Coturnix japonica: one gene and its partners. The protein of the gene in region 2 interacts with the protein of the main gene of each other region in a pairwise test. Links are inferred from orthologs where the notes say so. Each region holds a gene or a part of one and is shown on either strand. Other genes may lie near its edges.

The links. The genes of interacting proteins can lie anywhere in the genome.
Region 1: the proteins of ABI2 (region 2) and TLE family member 5 interact in binary tests that used the Homo sapiens proteins (3 or more experiments, as listed by UniProt). The link is inferred for Coturnix japonica from reciprocal best matches to the Homo sapiens genes ABI2 and TLE5.
Region 3: the proteins of ABI2 (region 2) and ARMC7 interact in binary tests that used the Homo sapiens proteins (3 or more experiments, as listed by UniProt). The link is inferred for Coturnix japonica from reciprocal best matches to the Homo sapiens genes ABI2 and ARMC7.

The regions. Positions count from the first base shown.
Region 1 is NC_029543.1:644,224-649,255, reverse strand, and holds the start of TLE family member 5, read left to right. Parts: upstream 1-1,158; 5' UTR 1,159-1,384; coding exon 1,385-1,411; intron 1,412-1,624; coding exon 1,625-1,722; intron 1,723-3,109; coding exon 3,110-3,173; intron 3,174-3,808; coding exon 3,809-3,853; intron 3,854-4,509; coding exon 4,510-4,572; intron 4,573-5,032. UniProt on the Homo sapiens protein: Transcriptional corepressor. Acts as a dominant repressor towards other family members. Inhibits NF-kappa-B-regulated gene expression. May be required for the initiation and maintenance of the differentiated state.
Region 2 is NC_029522.1:11,989,076-11,995,331, forward strand, and holds the start of ABI2 (abl interactor 2), read right to left. Parts: upstream 3,735-6,256; 5' UTR 3,703-3,734; coding exon 3,586-3,702; intron 1-3,585. UniProt on the Homo sapiens protein: Regulator of actin cytoskeleton dynamics underlying cell motility and adhesion. Functions as a component of the WAVE complex, which activates actin nucleating machinery Arp2/3 to drive lamellipodia formation.
Region 3 is NC_029533.1:9,330,689-9,335,471, forward strand, and holds ARMC7 (armadillo repeat-containing protein 7), read left to right. Parts: upstream 1-1,366; 5' UTR 1,367-1,489; coding exon 1,490-1,556; intron 1,557-1,634; coding exon 1,635-1,778; intron 1,779-2,239; coding exon 2,240-2,577; 3' UTR 2,578-3,209; downstream 3,210-4,783. Other genes in the region: JPT1 (jupiter microtubule associated homolog 1), read right to left, coding at 4,779-4,783. UniProt on the Homo sapiens protein: As a component of the minor spliceosome, involved in the splicing of U12-type introns in pre-mRNAs.

The DNA of each region.
Region 1 (5,032 bases), on a different chromosome or scaffold from region 2:
AATGCTTTGCTGTGGGCATTGCAAGTCAAAAACTGAGCCCTGCATTGCAATGGTGGGGTCTGCACTGTGATGGTGAGCCTTGCACTGTGATACTGGGGCATGCAATGTGATGGTGAGCCCCATAATGCAATGGTGAGCCCCATATTGCAATGGTGAGTCCTGTACTGTGATAGTGAGCCCCAAATTGTGATGGTGAGCTCCACACTGCTGGGGTGCTCAGCTCCTGCAGCATCACATCAAGAACCATAAGCAATAGGTGAACAAGGAACGCCAAGGGCAGACGTGTCTGGCCCATCTGGTGGCCTCCATTGATGGCATTGGTGGACAAAGGAAGGGCACAGGCTGCAGTTGTGCAGGGCCTTTGCACGGCCCCACACTGTGCCCATTTCTCTCAATAGGAGAGAGGTGGGTTTGAAGGGTGGGCTGTTTGGTGGGTAAGGAAGTGGTTGGATGGTCATAGCTTGGGATCTGTGGTCGTGGTGGTCCTACAGACCCCCCTGCGCTGCAACTATGGGGGGGCAGAGGGCAGGGAGGGGACTGTCCCGTCTGCTCAGCCCTTGTGGGGACCCACCTGCAGTGATGCATCCAGGTCTGGGATCAGGCTGTGGGATGCTCTGAGCTCTGAGCACCAAAGATCCTCTGCTATGGAAACGTGCTGATGGAGCAGCCATGGAGGCTCCGGGGAGACCTCACTGCAGCCCTCCAGTACTTGGGGAGGGGGCTTACAGGGAGGAGGGGGAGTGACTTTTACCTGCCTGATAGCAATATGGTGATGGGGAGAACTGGATGCCCTTTAAGGCCGACCCCACTCTAAGCCCTTCTCGCACCCACGATGCCCGCAGCAGGTGCGGGGCTCTGGGACACAGCGCAGACCCCAGACCCACGGAGGGTCCCACGGAGCGGGGTCTGAGCGGCACCGGGTCGGGATGGGTGGGCGTGGGGGGGGCAGAGCATCACGGCTGGGGGGGGTAGGAAGGAATTGGGGGGGGGGGGGCAGCTGGGCGCCCCCCCCCCCCCCGATCCCGGGGGGGGGGGGGGGGGGCGAGGGGGGGGGGGGGGGGGGAATTGGGGGGGGGGGGAGCAGCTGAGCGCCCCGCACCGCCCGGATCGCGGCGGGGGCGGAGACGGCCGTGGGCCCGCCCGGCCCGGGGAGGCGGCGGCGGGGCGGCAGGTGGTGCCGAGCAGCCGCAGGACGGAGCGGATCGCAGCCGCCATTAGACAATAGGCGGCGGCTCGGGGCACAGCGGCGCGGGGCGGCCGCGGGGCCGGGCCCGGCGCGGACAAAGGCGGACGGGGAAAGAACGGAACGGAGCGGAGCGGAGCGGAGCGGAGCGGAGCGGGGCGAGGGGACCGCTGCGGGCGGTGGAACGGGCTGCAGCCTGACATGATGTTTCCACAAAGCCGACACTCGGTACGGCGGCACCGGGAGGAGCGAGGAAGGAAGGAAGGAAGGAAGGAGGGAAGGACGGGGGGGAGCACCGAGAGCCGCCCCCTGCCCGCCCGCAGCCACCGGGAACCGGAGCGGGGGGTGCGGGTGACCTTGGGCGGCGGCGGGCTGCGGTGGGGGGGCGGGCAGGGCTGCGGGCCCCCCATTGGGTGTGCAGCGCTGTGTGTGTTGTTCAAGGGCTCCTCTCACCTGCCGCAGCAGCTCAAGTTCACCACCTCCGACTCGTGCGACCGCATCAAGGACGAGTTCCAGCTCCTGCAGGCCCAGTATCACAGGTACGTGCCGGTACCGCCCCCACCGACCGCCCCGAGCATCCCGGGGGGGTCCGCAGTGCGCCCGGAGCTGGGATCCTCCGCTTTGGCATCGCTGCCCTGCACGGACCGGGACGCAGCGTGGCCAAGAGATGGGCTCCGTGCGGCACGACGCGCTGCCCTCCCAGCCCAGCACAGGTTTACCCCCAGGCTCAGCCTCCCCAGGCCGGTATCACCTCCAGGTCCCACCTGGAGGACCGATGTGAGCATCCCAAGGAGGGGGGGGGGACGCCCGGTGTGCACCCATTGCTGCCTTCCTTTCCTTTGGCCACGCAGTTCGGCCCAGAGTTGGCCAAAAGCTGCAATCCAGGCAGGGAACGCTCTGCTCACTGCCCAAAAGGTGGGATTCTGGAAGGAGAAGGAAGGAGAACGCTCTGCCTCCCCCACAGCCAGGTCTTACCCCAATGCAGGACTCCATGCACAGCTCTTCCATCCCTCCATCCATGCACAGCTCTTCCATCCCTCCATCCATGCACAGCTCTTCCATCCCTCCATCCCTGTGCAGCTCTTCCATCCCTCCATCCATGCACAGCTCTTCCATCCCTCCATCCCTGTGCAGCTCTTCCATCCCTCCATCCATGTGCTGCTCTTCCATCCCTCCATCCCTGTGCAGCTCTTCCATCCCTCCATCCCTGTGCAGCTCTTCCATCCCTCCATCCATGTGCTGCTCTTTCATCCCTCCATCCATGTGCAGCTCTTCCATCCCTCCATCCATGTGCAGCTCTTCCAGCCCTCCCTCCTCTCGCTGGGAGTTTTCCTCCCCTCTCCCTGCTGGCTGCCATTCTTGGCTCACAAATGCTGCAGGGAGCACTTAAAGCCAAATGCTTCCGCTTTTCCGCCTGCGGAATGGCTTCTGCTGACCCAAAAGCTGGCTGCCGATGGGCTCTCTTGCTGTTTGCTTCCTAGCTGCACGCATGCACCAAACCATTGCTCCGTGTGTTGCCCTTTCCCTATTGCTCCCACCTCCCCGAGCTCTGCATCGTGCAGCATTGTGGCCCCCCCTTGCAGGACCCGATCTGCTCACAGAGCAGCAGGTTTGGTGGAGGTGAAGCTGTTTCTTGTTTGAAACATAAAACCAGCACATGCTGCTTGCAGCTGCCGGGCTGGGGAGCTGCACAGAGCACAGCGAGCAGCACGTCTGCTCTTAAGGGTGCAAAGAACCCAAAGGAAAGGGGGAAAAGGCATCATTCCAGAGGCCTGCACTGCACCTGGGCTTCCCCAGTATAGGAGGATCTGGTTGCTTTGCTGAGCTGCACTGGGCACACAACAGGCTGGGATGGACCCTGCAGGATGCAACCCAGGATGCAACCCGCTGCCCTGCTGCTTCTCTCACTGCTTTCTGCCTTTGCAGCTTGAAGTTGGAATGCGACAAACTCGCCAGCGAGAAATCGGAGATGCAGCGTCACTACGTCATGGTGAGGAGCTGCCGGGGCAGCGCGTGGGTGGGGAGCAGGTGCTGCTGCTGCTGGGCTCGTGCAAACGGGGCTCCTCGTGCACACAGGGCTCCTCGTGCAAACAAACAGAGCTCCTCGTGCTCTGCACCCTGTGTGTGTGCTGGGTCGGTGGGTGCAGGATGGACATGCAGGGTGTGAGCAGGGAGCTGCTGTCTGTGTGCAGAGCTGCTCTGCTGCTTGAGCAAACTTGGAGTGCTCAGGAATTGACTTCCCGTGCCAATAGCTTGCACTGGAGCTGCCTGTTGTGTGAGGGGGGTGGGTTATTTTGCGTGTGTGTTTCCTGCAGCTCCTTCCCAAGCAGCTGGAGCTGTGTGCAGCTGGAGCACAGGGCTGAGCCCTTCCATTTGCTGCCGGAGCAGCCACGTGGGCGTTAGGAGATGGGCCAGGCACAGCAAACAGAGCCGGGCTGTGCCTGTTCCCAGCAGAGCACTGAGCTCTCCCTGTGATGCCAGGGCTCTGTGAAGGTGCTGAGTGGGCTCTGGGTTAGTTGAGGTCCCACCTGGGCTGGGGGCAGCAGGAAGGTACAGATGTGGGGGTCTCTTTGCATGCTGGAGTCCTCATCGTGTCTGTTTGTTCTCTTCTTCCCCACTCCGCAGTACTACGAGATGTCCTACGGGCTGAATATTGAGATGCACAAACAGGTATTGGGGGGGGTGGGCTGCCTGCTGTGCCTTCTGTCCCTTCAGTGGCATTTCAGGATGTCAAACGTCAGCACTGATTTTGGGATCTCCAGCTCTGGCATTGGGGAGCACCTTCACATTTTTTCCACCCCATGACCTTATAAAAACGTCTTTTCATGCAGGGAGGGGAAAAAAAAATAATCATTGTGGCCATGAGCTGCTTTTCCAAACCCTTCTGGAAGGGGGGACCCGGCTGGGGGTGCTCTGGCTCTGAGCTGGGCTGGGTGCAGTCAGTGCTGGGCACCTCGTGGTGGAGGCTCTGCTGTAGCCTGGCTGAGTCTGCCTGTTCCCCTTGCTGGTGGTTCAGCTGCTCAGGATCTGCAGTGGTTAATTACCTGCTGTTCACAACGTGAGCTCCTTGAGCTCTCGGTCACGGTTATCTGAACGTGTCCCAGCTCAGCTCAAAGCCTCTTAGCGCCGTTCTGCTCCCTTCAAACACACCCAGAGCCTCTGATCCCATCACCTCGGGAGGGAAATCTATTGGCTGAGCTGCAGGACTTGAGCCGTGGCTCCTCACTGCCATCTCCCAGTGTTTGCCTAAACCAGGTGCTGTGGGTCCCCTCACACTATTCCTCTCTGTTGTTTGTTTCTTGGTTTCTTTTTCTTCCCCTCTCCAGGCTGAAATTGTCAAGAGGCTCAATGGGATCTGTGCGCAGGTTCTGCCCTACCTTTCACAGGAGGTAACTGCCAAACCACCCAACTTGGAGGCTCTATAAGCAGCCCTGGGGTGCCCATGCCCTGATTCCTCCCCACCCGTGCCTGCTCCATGCAGGATGAGCCCTTCAGGAGAGGTTGGAGCCCACAGCTCAGCCCCCAGGCCATGCTGGGACTGGTGGGTCAGTCTGTCTGTCTGTCCGTCCCCTTTGTGGGGCAGCTGCAGACAAACTGGACTCTGTTCTCACCCCGCTCCCGTGACTCCCAGCTGCTTCTGGCCGGGTGCAGGCAGTGGTGGATGGCTGAACATTAAAAACTGCCTCCATATGGTTCCTGGAGACCAGGTTCCTCTGCCTCATTAATTAATGTGGCTCATGGGCTCCTCCCACTCCCTTGAGAAATTAATTGGGAGGGCTGTGGGGAGGGAGGGAGCTGCTGGAGCACCCTCAGTATGATGTCTGTCTGTCTGTCTGTCTGTCTGTCTGT
Region 2 (6,256 bases):
ATTTCTATGCCAATGGATGTTCCACTCTCTTCTTCACCTCATTGGAAGATGCTGTCAGAAGTACAATGACTTGGTTTGGCTTAACAGGACAAAGTAAAATTAACAGGCATGCGGAAAGCAACTAAGAAACTGATCAACCCATGGGCTATAATAAAATTACTGAGAAACAGGTAATTCTCACCATTATGTTTATTTAAAAAAAGCTATTGCAGGGTCTGAAAGCAGGTACTTCTAGTACCTAGAAGGATGGAATACTTTCAGAAAAGGAAAAAATATATATATTCTTCCCTGCCTTTCCCTTAGAAATATGGGAAGCTTATTTCTATGTATGAGACTCAATACCCATAGCAACCTGAAGGCTGCAAAGTGATGGAAATGGGAAGTTCGCTCTTCCTCTCCACACAACAAAGCATAATAGTCTAGAAAGACTAAGAAATCCAGATCCTGCTTGAAGAATCTGGCAAACACAGCACACTCACCTTCTGGAGGCTGGACAGGGCACAGGGCCGTGGCTTTTCACCCAGCTCTGCATGCTGCATTGCTCTCTGGCCTTGCCCCCACCCTGAGTCTGGTCCTGCTAGATATCCAGTGGCTGAAAATGTCTATCTAGGAATTCTTTCTGACTCTTTCAAAACAGTGAGTTCAGACACAAGCATTCAATTACTCTTGAAAGTTCTATATGCAATGCATTAAGTAAAAAAATGATTTCGTTTTTAAAAGTTCCAATTGTTTGGAAGCAAGTTAGAGATGAGCCCCAGACAGACTTGTTCAGAACAAGCTTAAAGAAAGTGAAAAGGCCAATGCAGCGCTGGAACTTACAGTGGTGTACCAGTAATAAAACAAGCAAGTCACACCAGTGCTCAAAAGGGTGTTCGTCATTTATATCATCATAACCAGAAACTTTCTTTATCACATTCCTGATCAAAAATAATGCTGGAATATGAAAATCTAGTAAATACAGCGCACTGTCCAATTAAGTAACTCTTGCTTTTCATGGAGATCAATGCAGACCTAAATATGTTTTTATACAGTAACAAGTAAATGAAGCAATCAGATTTTATAGAACTACTTTGTTGCAGTTTAGACTGAGAACTTGGTATCAGAATGCAGCACTAGTACACAAAGGCCTGCAGAAACAGTATACAATTTAACTTCTGATTAACATTGTATCAAATCCCACAAAAATCTCCTCCTAAATAACAGCCTGTATTAGCCCCCTCTTCGGGAAGTACAACAGAGAAGTAACTATGTTTTCTACGGTACTGAGAAGAGCTACCTGGAAAGCAAAGTTATTTGATATTGGCAGTAACAGAAGCTGATCAAACTGTCTTACTTGTGCACTTACACTTAAAACTTTCCAAAAATACATACTAATATTCTTATATAAAGTGAAATAATCACAGAGAAGGAGCTGAACTGTCGTACTATGCAGGTGAAAATCGTTCTTTACATGTTTCTTCTTGCAATATCCAAGCAGTAGCTTTTCATCTTTCATTGCTGCAGTTCTATTTTACTACATATTTCCAATATTTCCCAGTGACTTGTCACAAAATTTTAAGCTGATGTGCTCTGATATGCTGCTATAATACAGACTTCAGAGAACCTTAACAATTCATTTAACATTCTCTGTTGCTGAAGTAACTGAGCTCTGCAAGTATCAAGAACAATTTGTATAATGAACCACCAACATTCAAGGAATGCTTTTCACTTCATAAGTAGAATCCAAATGAGTTGCAAACACCACAGCTCTCTGACTCTGACCTGTCAGTCCCAACATGTAAGAGATTACTGTTCCATTATTCTCCAGCTGCTATGTAACTGTCAATGGAGGCAGAGATAGAACACATTCATCTTATAGCACTGAACTTCAAATTCTTTAAAAAACTGACCAACGCCTCTGCTTTTTGCAACAATTTATGTACCTGACAATAAAATAACCTCTCAGCACCAATTGAGCTTGTCTACTGACAAATACATGCCAGTGTCATTCCTGCAAGCACTGATTGCTGTGCTGCCTATCATTCAGTAGATCAAACTCAGATCTCAGTCATACACTGAGTCCCTGTCAGGAGACCTCAAGAATATCCATGATAAACCCTTCTGTCAGCAACGGAACATTAAAAGATTACAGTAGAACTAGTCGATCTTCTGGAAGATTTTCTGACTTTCTGGAAGATGATTCTCACACGCATTCCCAACGTGCACATCTCCACCAAATCCAAGCTTGCATAAAATATGTAATTTAGACTGAATTGGGTATATTGATTTTTGGAATTACTATTATTGGAAACAAAATCCCCAGTGATGTTAGTTGTATCCATTTCCCTTCCTTGCAGAAGGAAGACAAACAAAATAGCTTTGGGTATTTATCCCAATGAAGAGTTTATGCAGTTCTGGCACGGAGAACGTAGGGTGAGTTCTCCATCAGATTTGTTACAAGGACACTCACGTCACTCAATCCAGCATCTCCTCAAGTTGGACTCCTCTGCAACGTCACCTTGCAGTCTCTCTGCCAACCCCAATAGCCTAAGCCTACCATCATCACCTAGCTATGGTCCTCCGCTCCCCACTTGTTTCACATCTTTATTTTTCCAGTCAGTGATCCCATACTGCACCTCACAGTCAGCACCACAACACAATTTCTGCCTTCTGTTCTCACCTCCCTCTTACATCCCTGTGTTGCCGCGATGCTTGGACAAATTGCCAACAACTGCGGTGTGCTGCACAGCGGCCAGAACCCGGTGGGCTGACCAACCCAGCCTCACTCCCTGCTTTCCCTCACCAGCTGGCTGCCCTCGGCTCAGGCTGCCTTTATATGCCAGCTATGGGAAGACCCCCCTCTTTCCATTCTCTGCATGAAATATCACAGAATCTTGCTCTGCAATTTTTACTGAAACAATAAAAGTGGAGCTGTTCAATACAGATTTTATAATCCTTGGTTTACAAGAAGAGAACAGTAAAAGGTCGTGGGGAGAGCAAAACAACAAGCTAAATGCACCTCTTCCTATCCGGTTCTGCCATTCACAGCTCCTCTTCCAGAAAAAGCCCCATTTCCTTCTTTTTAAAACAGCACAAACATTAATGTCAGTTTATGACTACAACAAAATACTTCAGCGCGTTTCTCTTAAAGAACATAAGTCACGCTAATTCAGCGTATGAAACCTTATTAATCGCATCGCTGTTCGGTAAATGACCCCAGATCCGCAGACATTTCCCACTAGAGGTCGGCTGGTCGCTCAGCATCCCACACAGCGCACCCCCAATGCTTCCCCCTCGTGTCGCCCACCCGGGCACGGCCCGCTCCCCCTGCCATCACACAAGCGCTCTCGGGGACGGAAGGCACAAGCTCCGGGAGCCCTCTCACTGCACTCAGCACCGACACCACGGCGGAACGACCCGCGGCCGTTACTGATGCTGCCGTCCTGTTTTTGTTCCGCCTCACCGAGGAGCACGATGCGGCCCGGGCCCGGCGCAACGCGGAGCGGGGGAGGAAGCGCCGCTGCCGCCGCTCAGCACCGCGCCACGCGGACGGCGACCGCCAGGGCCGACCGCTATGCTCGGCCGTCGGGCCCCGCCCCGCCGCACCTGGATGTAGTTGGTCTCGCAGTACTCGGCCACCCGCTCCAGGTTCGTGTAGCTGTCGAACAGGGCCCGGCGCCCCCCGGGGATCTCCTCCTCCAGCAGCATCTGCAGCTCCGCCATCTTCACATCCTCTCACCCCACGACCGTCCGCTCGTCTGCCCGTCCTCCCTCCTGCACCTCCCTCCCGTCCTCCCTCCGCTCCGCTCCCTCTCTCCGCTCCCCGCCGCCAGGCCCGGCCTCGCGCCGCGGGCAGGAGCGCGCCGGACCCCCACCGCACCGGGGGCGGGGCGCGGCCGGCGGCTCCTCCTGCGCATGTCCCAGCAGCCCTAATCATGGCCCCGTGCGCCCACTGCCGGCACGGAGGAGCTGGGACGGGGCTGCGGGACATGAATGGAGCCGGAGCTGGAGCAGGAGCCGGAGCGACCCCCTGACCCTGCAGTGGCCCCTTCCAGTGACTTGGAGCATATGAGAAAAGGCCTCGTCTTTACTATGTGTGTGCGCAGCTGACCAGCTGGACTAACCTGCCTGCATCATTAGCTGCTTGTTATCACAGCATGTTTATGTTTTAATAGGGGACTCTTTCATGGATTTAAATTTAAAGATGAAGAGCCCTCCTGGCAGAGTGATGGTTATCCTATAATTCTCTGTACGCGTGCTGAAAATGATTAGAAGCAGTGTTTAAATTAGACCAAGTGAATCCAACTACCACTTTCCTACATTTACATAATCGACTCCCCATCTGCCAAGCGATGTGCTAAACTAATTTTAAGTCCTTATGCTCTCTGAGCCCCAGTTACAGCATTCCACACATTAACTTCTCCTTCTTTCTTTTGTGCAGTACCTTCCCTTGGTACAACAGCTTCAAGACTGGGAAGCAAATGTATTTCCCACCTAAATATACTGAGAAAACAATATCCCTAGGAACAAGCAAGGTAAGCATGTCGCTTACTCCAAGTTCCCTCACACGCATCAGATTTTTACCTCTGCCCATTACCCAAGGGAGTCCCTGCGCACAAAAACGCCCAGACAAGCAAATCATTTGGTCACGTGCAATCTCGTAGCTGGGCACTCTGTGTGTCCTACATACCACAGTCTGAATTACCAATTCTTAATTAGAGAAAAGTAATAACGGGGTAGCTTGGAGGCCACTGTTTTTGGCACCATGGGTAGGCATTGCAATCAAAAGCCTCTTCTGTTTTCTTTGCTATATGGAAGACAGAACGGCACAATCCCTGATCCCATTTGGACAGATGACCTGGTTGGATCTCTGACACACCATGCTGCAGGTTTTCACTTAATTTGTGTAAGGATCTCTGTTCTGGCTTTATGACATTCTCATTTCTGAACATTTTTTCCCTCACAAAAAAAACAAAAAACAAAAAACAACCCAAATTCCATGTTTTGTATACAGCAGAAACAAAACCCCCACTGTATCACATTGAGCCAAGCAGATCTGCGTCTGCACAATGGGCAAAGCACTTTGACAGCAAACATGGGCATGTGAACTGACCATAATACAAACAGGCCCATGCCCTAAAGCTGGCAGGTAGCATTTACTGCAGGAATGGGGAAAGAGGAAAAAATGGGGGAATGAAAAAAAATTATCTGTAGCTGAAATATATACTTTTGCTCCCTCAACAAAGACAGAGTTGTGCCATCCTGGTCTGTTTAGATAGCGTTGATCTGCCTCTGGCTGGATGCAGACCTTTGCTAGCCTCATAATGCAAAGCACCCAAAGGGAACAGCAGCACATTTAACACTCGAGGCTCTGCCACAATCTCAGGATGGCCTGCTACAGAATGAGGCTCATACACATCCAGTGCCCACAACAAACGCTGTCAGGATCCTGTGGCATCTTGGGCACTCAGCCGCCAGCCCCTGCTGTGAAACAGTGAAGAACCCACACACTCTGCAGCTGCACATTCTCCTCCTGCTTCCGCAGGCATTCACCAATTTGCTGGGCAATCAAGATCGTAACCACAGATAATCTTTCTGCTCATGATAAACTGCTGCTGGGTAAAATACCGACTGTACACAGGACACAAGTTACCTGTGGGGTAGTTCACATCTCATGGAAGTGCTTGCACTAACACCACTAGTTCAGAAACAGGCAGAGGCAGTGCATGACTGACATCCATCACCTCACAGCACCTCCGGAGAGGCACAGGACACACTGCAGACATTCCGTCTTTCTGTTCTCGGCCGTGTCTCATTCTAAATATCAAGCCTTTTTTTTCTAGGAATTCAAGTTCTCTCTTGAACGTTATTTCAGCATAGCATTGTGTGAGAAGGATGGAGCCAGTACATGCGGAGAATCTCTCTAAGGGAGGGAGAGGTCAAGTTAAAGAGGAAAAATAATGATCTCTTCCTAACATTTCAGCTTTAAAAGAACACAGGCAACAAATGGTCTCAAAGACAAACCAGCACAAAGCACAGCTGATCATCAGGTTCCCTTCCGAGGTTCAAAGAACAAAGCATTCAGAGAAGGAGGGGGAAGTTAAAAAATGTGCCAATTTGTTTTTCTTTTCTGCCAGTTTTCCTTCTCAAAGATACCAACCCAATTTTCAGTCCCTTTCCATCCTGACCCCCAGTGGCATCTCCCAGGTCCATGTGACATAACTACTGAGAAGACAGACCCTAAAGGGCTGATTACAGAGTTAATGCTCCACTGCAG
Region 3 (4,783 bases), on a different chromosome or scaffold from region 2:
TCTTTCCTGCTCCCTCTGTCATTAAATGTATCGTTAACTTTGCGAGCTAAACATATTTTGCAACAAGCACCTTTTCCTACTGCTATGAAACATTCACCAGGAAGTTCATTTGAAATATTGCAAAACTGTGAACCTTATAAGACTCAGATAGTCTGCCAGGGTAAATCTTGGAAAACTTTAATTAAAAACAAAACAAACAACAAACAAACCCAAAAGGTCACGGCAAACTTACGTACTCTAAAACACCTCAGAACTGCAAAATCACTCAAATGAAGAGTTTGGCAAAATTTGCAGACCCAGTCAGTAACTGCAAGAAAAGAAACACACCCACCAGAACCTGAAATTGACCAAATTCTAACTCTGTTGAGATATCAATGGGCACCACTGTCATTAGACTACCCCTAAGGCTGTTAATACCACAGCTATGCTCAGGCAGCCTGTGCAACATGGACAAAATATGGCCCACATCACCCGCACAAACAGCCTGAGCCAGCACTGCTGCCAAGAGATGGTTGTGTACGACCAGGAAAACTTCCTGCAGCATTGCAGCACACGGTGATGATCAGATGCACTCAGTCATGTAAGCAGCACGAGCACAGCCTGCAGCCCTTACAGAACATCTCTGCAGACCACAGACCTGGGAATGTTACCAAACTCTATGGGACAGCTCAAATTAAATGCACAATGTTCCTCACATCCGTTAACCAGCCTGGATTAGACTCAAAACAAGATAGAATCTAGAAGCAGCAGAGCACGCAGCTCGCAGTGAGGTGAGCAGCAGCGCTGCAGTGTGACCCGCAGGGTGCAGCTCTCGGGGATGCACCACCCGACCAGCACGGGCTGTTCCTAAACGCTGCTCGCAGTGAAATCACTGCAGGGGACAAAGTTCCCATTGGTTTTGTGCTTGCAAAATCCTACTGACTGCCCACACACACACACGGTACCTGGGAACTCAGCGCTGCATTTTCCTCCTCCAATGCAACGCGCTCCTCCCCTTATTGCTCAGTCCCACTGTCCTCAAACACTTCTGTCGGTTTGCTTCTCCTTGTTTGCTTTCTCTTCTCTGCCCTTCTCACACCAGCCCCGCTCTGGTCCATATTAGTAATGACAGATGTCGCTTCAAGTGCACTAACACAGTTACAGGCACGAGAAGCACACGCGGGGGTGTAAATTCTGAGGCCTGGGGGGCAAGCAACCAGGTGGCAGGGAAAGGTGAAGAACTGTGCAGAACAAAGGGGGGAAACGATAAAAACACGTGTTTGCCAGATACAGAGTGCAGCAGTGATATGTGCCTTCACTTATTGACGCACATGAGCTGCCCACAGCCCGCCCCGCACGCGGAGCGCAGCCAGCAGCCGCACCGCCCACAACATGGCGGCCGGGGAGTAACGCCCACAACATGGCGGCCGCCGGTGTCCGGAGCGCCCCGTTGTGCCCCGTGCCGGCGGCGCGGTCCAGCTGATCGGCTGGTTCTGGTTCTCAGCTCGGGATGGAGCTGGGCAGGTTGGAGTACCTGCAGGCCCTCGTCACGGAGTTCCAGGTGACAGACAGCCCAGGTAACCCCGCGTACAAAAGCGAAATCTCCATCTACCACAGCCCCCCTTGCCCCGTTTGACGCGTTGCTTCCCCGGCAGAGGCCAGGCGGCAGGTGCTGGCCAACCTGGCCAACTTCGCCTACGACCCCAAGAACTACGAGTATCTGCGGCAGCTCCAGGTGCTGGACCTGTTCCTCGACATGCTGACGGAGGACGACGAGACCCTGGTGGAATTCGCTATGGGTGAGCACAGCGCTGGGTGCGCCCCGATGCTTTCCCTGTTTCTCTAAAACACAGGTAACAAACCGGGGAAAATGAAAATAAACGCTGCAGCCACACGGCGCCATAAATGCCATCACTGCACTGAGATGGACAGGAGAAAATAAAAGGCAACGTAGGGCAATTAAAAACCCATCATTTAATTCCTGGTACCTTGAAGACCGATTGCCCCCTTACCACACAGGGAAACTGTCTGTGCATGTTGCCTTAAGAAAAGTAGTAAAGATGGAGTGTCCGTCTGCGGACAACTCAGTGCCGGCACCACACAGGTCAGGGCCCAACTGCTGGTACCAACAGACGGAACGTGCTCCAGCTGCTGCCATTCATTCCCAGATGAGGTGCCCTTCAGAGCATGGAGTGTGTCCGGATGAGGCTGCAGAAAGAATCTGTCTTGCATGTGTCAGATGCTTTTTTCGCTATTTCAGGTGGTCTTTGCAACCTGTGCTTGGATAAAACTAACAAAGACTATATCCTGGAGGCCAATGGGGTAGAGCCCATAATAAACTGCCTCTCCAGCTCCAACGAAGAGACAGTCATGTCAGCAGTCACAGCCCTGATGTATCTGACAACGCCGCAGTCGTGCCAGCAGACCACAGCTCTCCCGGTGGTGGAATGCATGCTTCGCTTCTCCCTGTCGGCCAGCAGAAGGCTGAGCAATCTGGCCACGATCTTCCTGGAGGATTATTGCACGCCCCTGCAGGTGGAAGAGGCCAGGAACCTGAGCAAACACACAGCGGTGGGGATTCCTCTCCCGAAGGATTGAAGCTGTCAGAGCAGCTTGGAGCTGCTGCGAGGAGCACCCCCTGTTTGCTCAGGTCTGCACCTAATGCTGAGTAGGTCAAGAGTGTGATGAGAACAGTAAAGCAGGAAATCAGACTAGCATTGGATTTTAGTTAGTATTGAAAAGGACCATACAGCACTATAACAGGCCAAGAACGTGGCTGAAAATGGAAGCAAATATTTTAAATAAAAAAGGTGATGGCTGCTGTGCAGCTCTGAACCAGCTTACAGGTATAACCCTTATAGCAGTTACTTTCTCTGCTCGGGTTATTGTTCAGCTTGTATCACTTCCAGTTCCTGGCTGATTTTGCCACAGCTTTCCAGTGTCAACTCAGATGACTTTGAAATGACCCAAACTTCATCCCTCCTGCAGAAGAAATGCGTTTCCCTGCCCTGGTAATTTGCAATCCTATTACATACCTTTGGTACTATACATACTGTCTTATCATCCTGCCCTAGAACAGGTGATAGCTATCCCATAGGTCAGGAAGCAGAAAGCTGTATTTCCCTCATTACCACTGGTGAGAAAGGTGCAGGTAGGAAAAGGGTTTATGGCATTCAGGTTCACAAGAAAAGCCTTTTCTTAATAAAACATTAACGGAGCTGTTGTGTAAACAGTTCTGTGTAAGCTCGTAAATGTTCCTGTACAGCTCTTGCAGCGCAGCCTCTGCTGCTCCCACTAATGCACGTGGGCTGGGAGTTGGAGCCACTTTGCTCTCCTTTTATGATCAGCCAATCGTGCAAAAGGTAACCTGGAGCCAGGGCGGCAAACTGCCCAAAGGCATAGAACGGGGTGGCCCTTTACCACGGTGCTTCTGAAAGGCTGCGAGTTCCAGAGTTCTGCTTTCTCCCCCTCCACTCAGCTCAAAACACGCCATAGTGAGCTTACACCACAGCTGGCTGTTTGTCTTTATAGTTATTCTTCATAACATCACTGCGGCTCCGGCCGCACCAGGACGAGGCACCGTGAGGTGAACCCCGCAACCCCCGCATGAAGCCGAGCGGCCCCTGGCGGCACCACGGCCCCGAGTGGAACCTCCGGCCACAAGCGGGTGGAACTGCCGGCCTGGCCTTAGTGCGGGGCCAGGCGGCTCCGCTGTGCGCTGCGGGAACCTTCATCGGACGGCTGGGCGCGCTCCAACTGCACTCAGTGTTTAGGAGCTGTAGCCTGCTCCGCTGCTCGCTTCTTTCATAAAGCAGATGTTGGACACTTCACACGGAGGCAGCACGTGGTGGTGCCCCATCAGCTGCACTCACGCTCCTGTTCCGCTCCATCCCAGCCCTCTCCATTAGTGCAGGACAACTGAGAGCAGTGCAGAACCAGACCCACAAATAAAACCCACGCAGGAAACATTGCTTCAAAATGTCTATATTATTTACTGTAAGCAACAGTCCAGCTTCGTGAAATTACAACACACACTTTTAAGGATGAGGCTTTCACCCCATGGTCAAGCACCAGCATGATCATGCACAGCATTGAATCAGTTCTAAAAAAAAGAAAAAACCGCCCCGGAATTTGTTCTTTATTTCTACGATCCACTCCACCTTCACCGAACAAAGCCCAGTCAATGCCCTCCCAGCCTCAGGCCAGGTGACGCTGCTCATCAGCCACTATTTGGCACATACCCTGCTTAAAATGGTCCAGTATCAATGTATTGTAAAGGCAGCATGGTGTACACTAACCACTTCAAATGGCACAGCAGGGCTCAAGGCATTCACCCCACACAGACAAGGAGTTCCTTTGGATCCCCACAGTTCACATGTGGAAGAAGGGATGGCTCTTGCTGATCGTTTGCTGGCCTCTTTAACCACGTCTCTCGACCCTCGTACAGCGAAGGGGTTCTACAAACCTCAGGACAGAAACCCTCTAAGCACACTTAGGACCAATCTACTCTCCTTTCAATTACATTACTATACTTCATAAAGCTTTCCCTCAAGTCTATCACTAGAAAACACTCATGTAACTTCCAGCAGATCTAGGGGAAAAACACAGGACAAAAGTGGGAAAAAACCTTGATCTCAAAAGACAGGGGAAAAAAAAAAAAAAAAAAAGATGGAGTACATAAAGTGCTTCTTTTTAATTGAAAGAAATTCGAGATGTACAGTCAGGCTCACGAGCATGGGGGGGGAGAAGGGCAAGAAACAGACACAAGTTCAAAACAGTCAGGAAAGGAAAGGAAAGGTTTAAC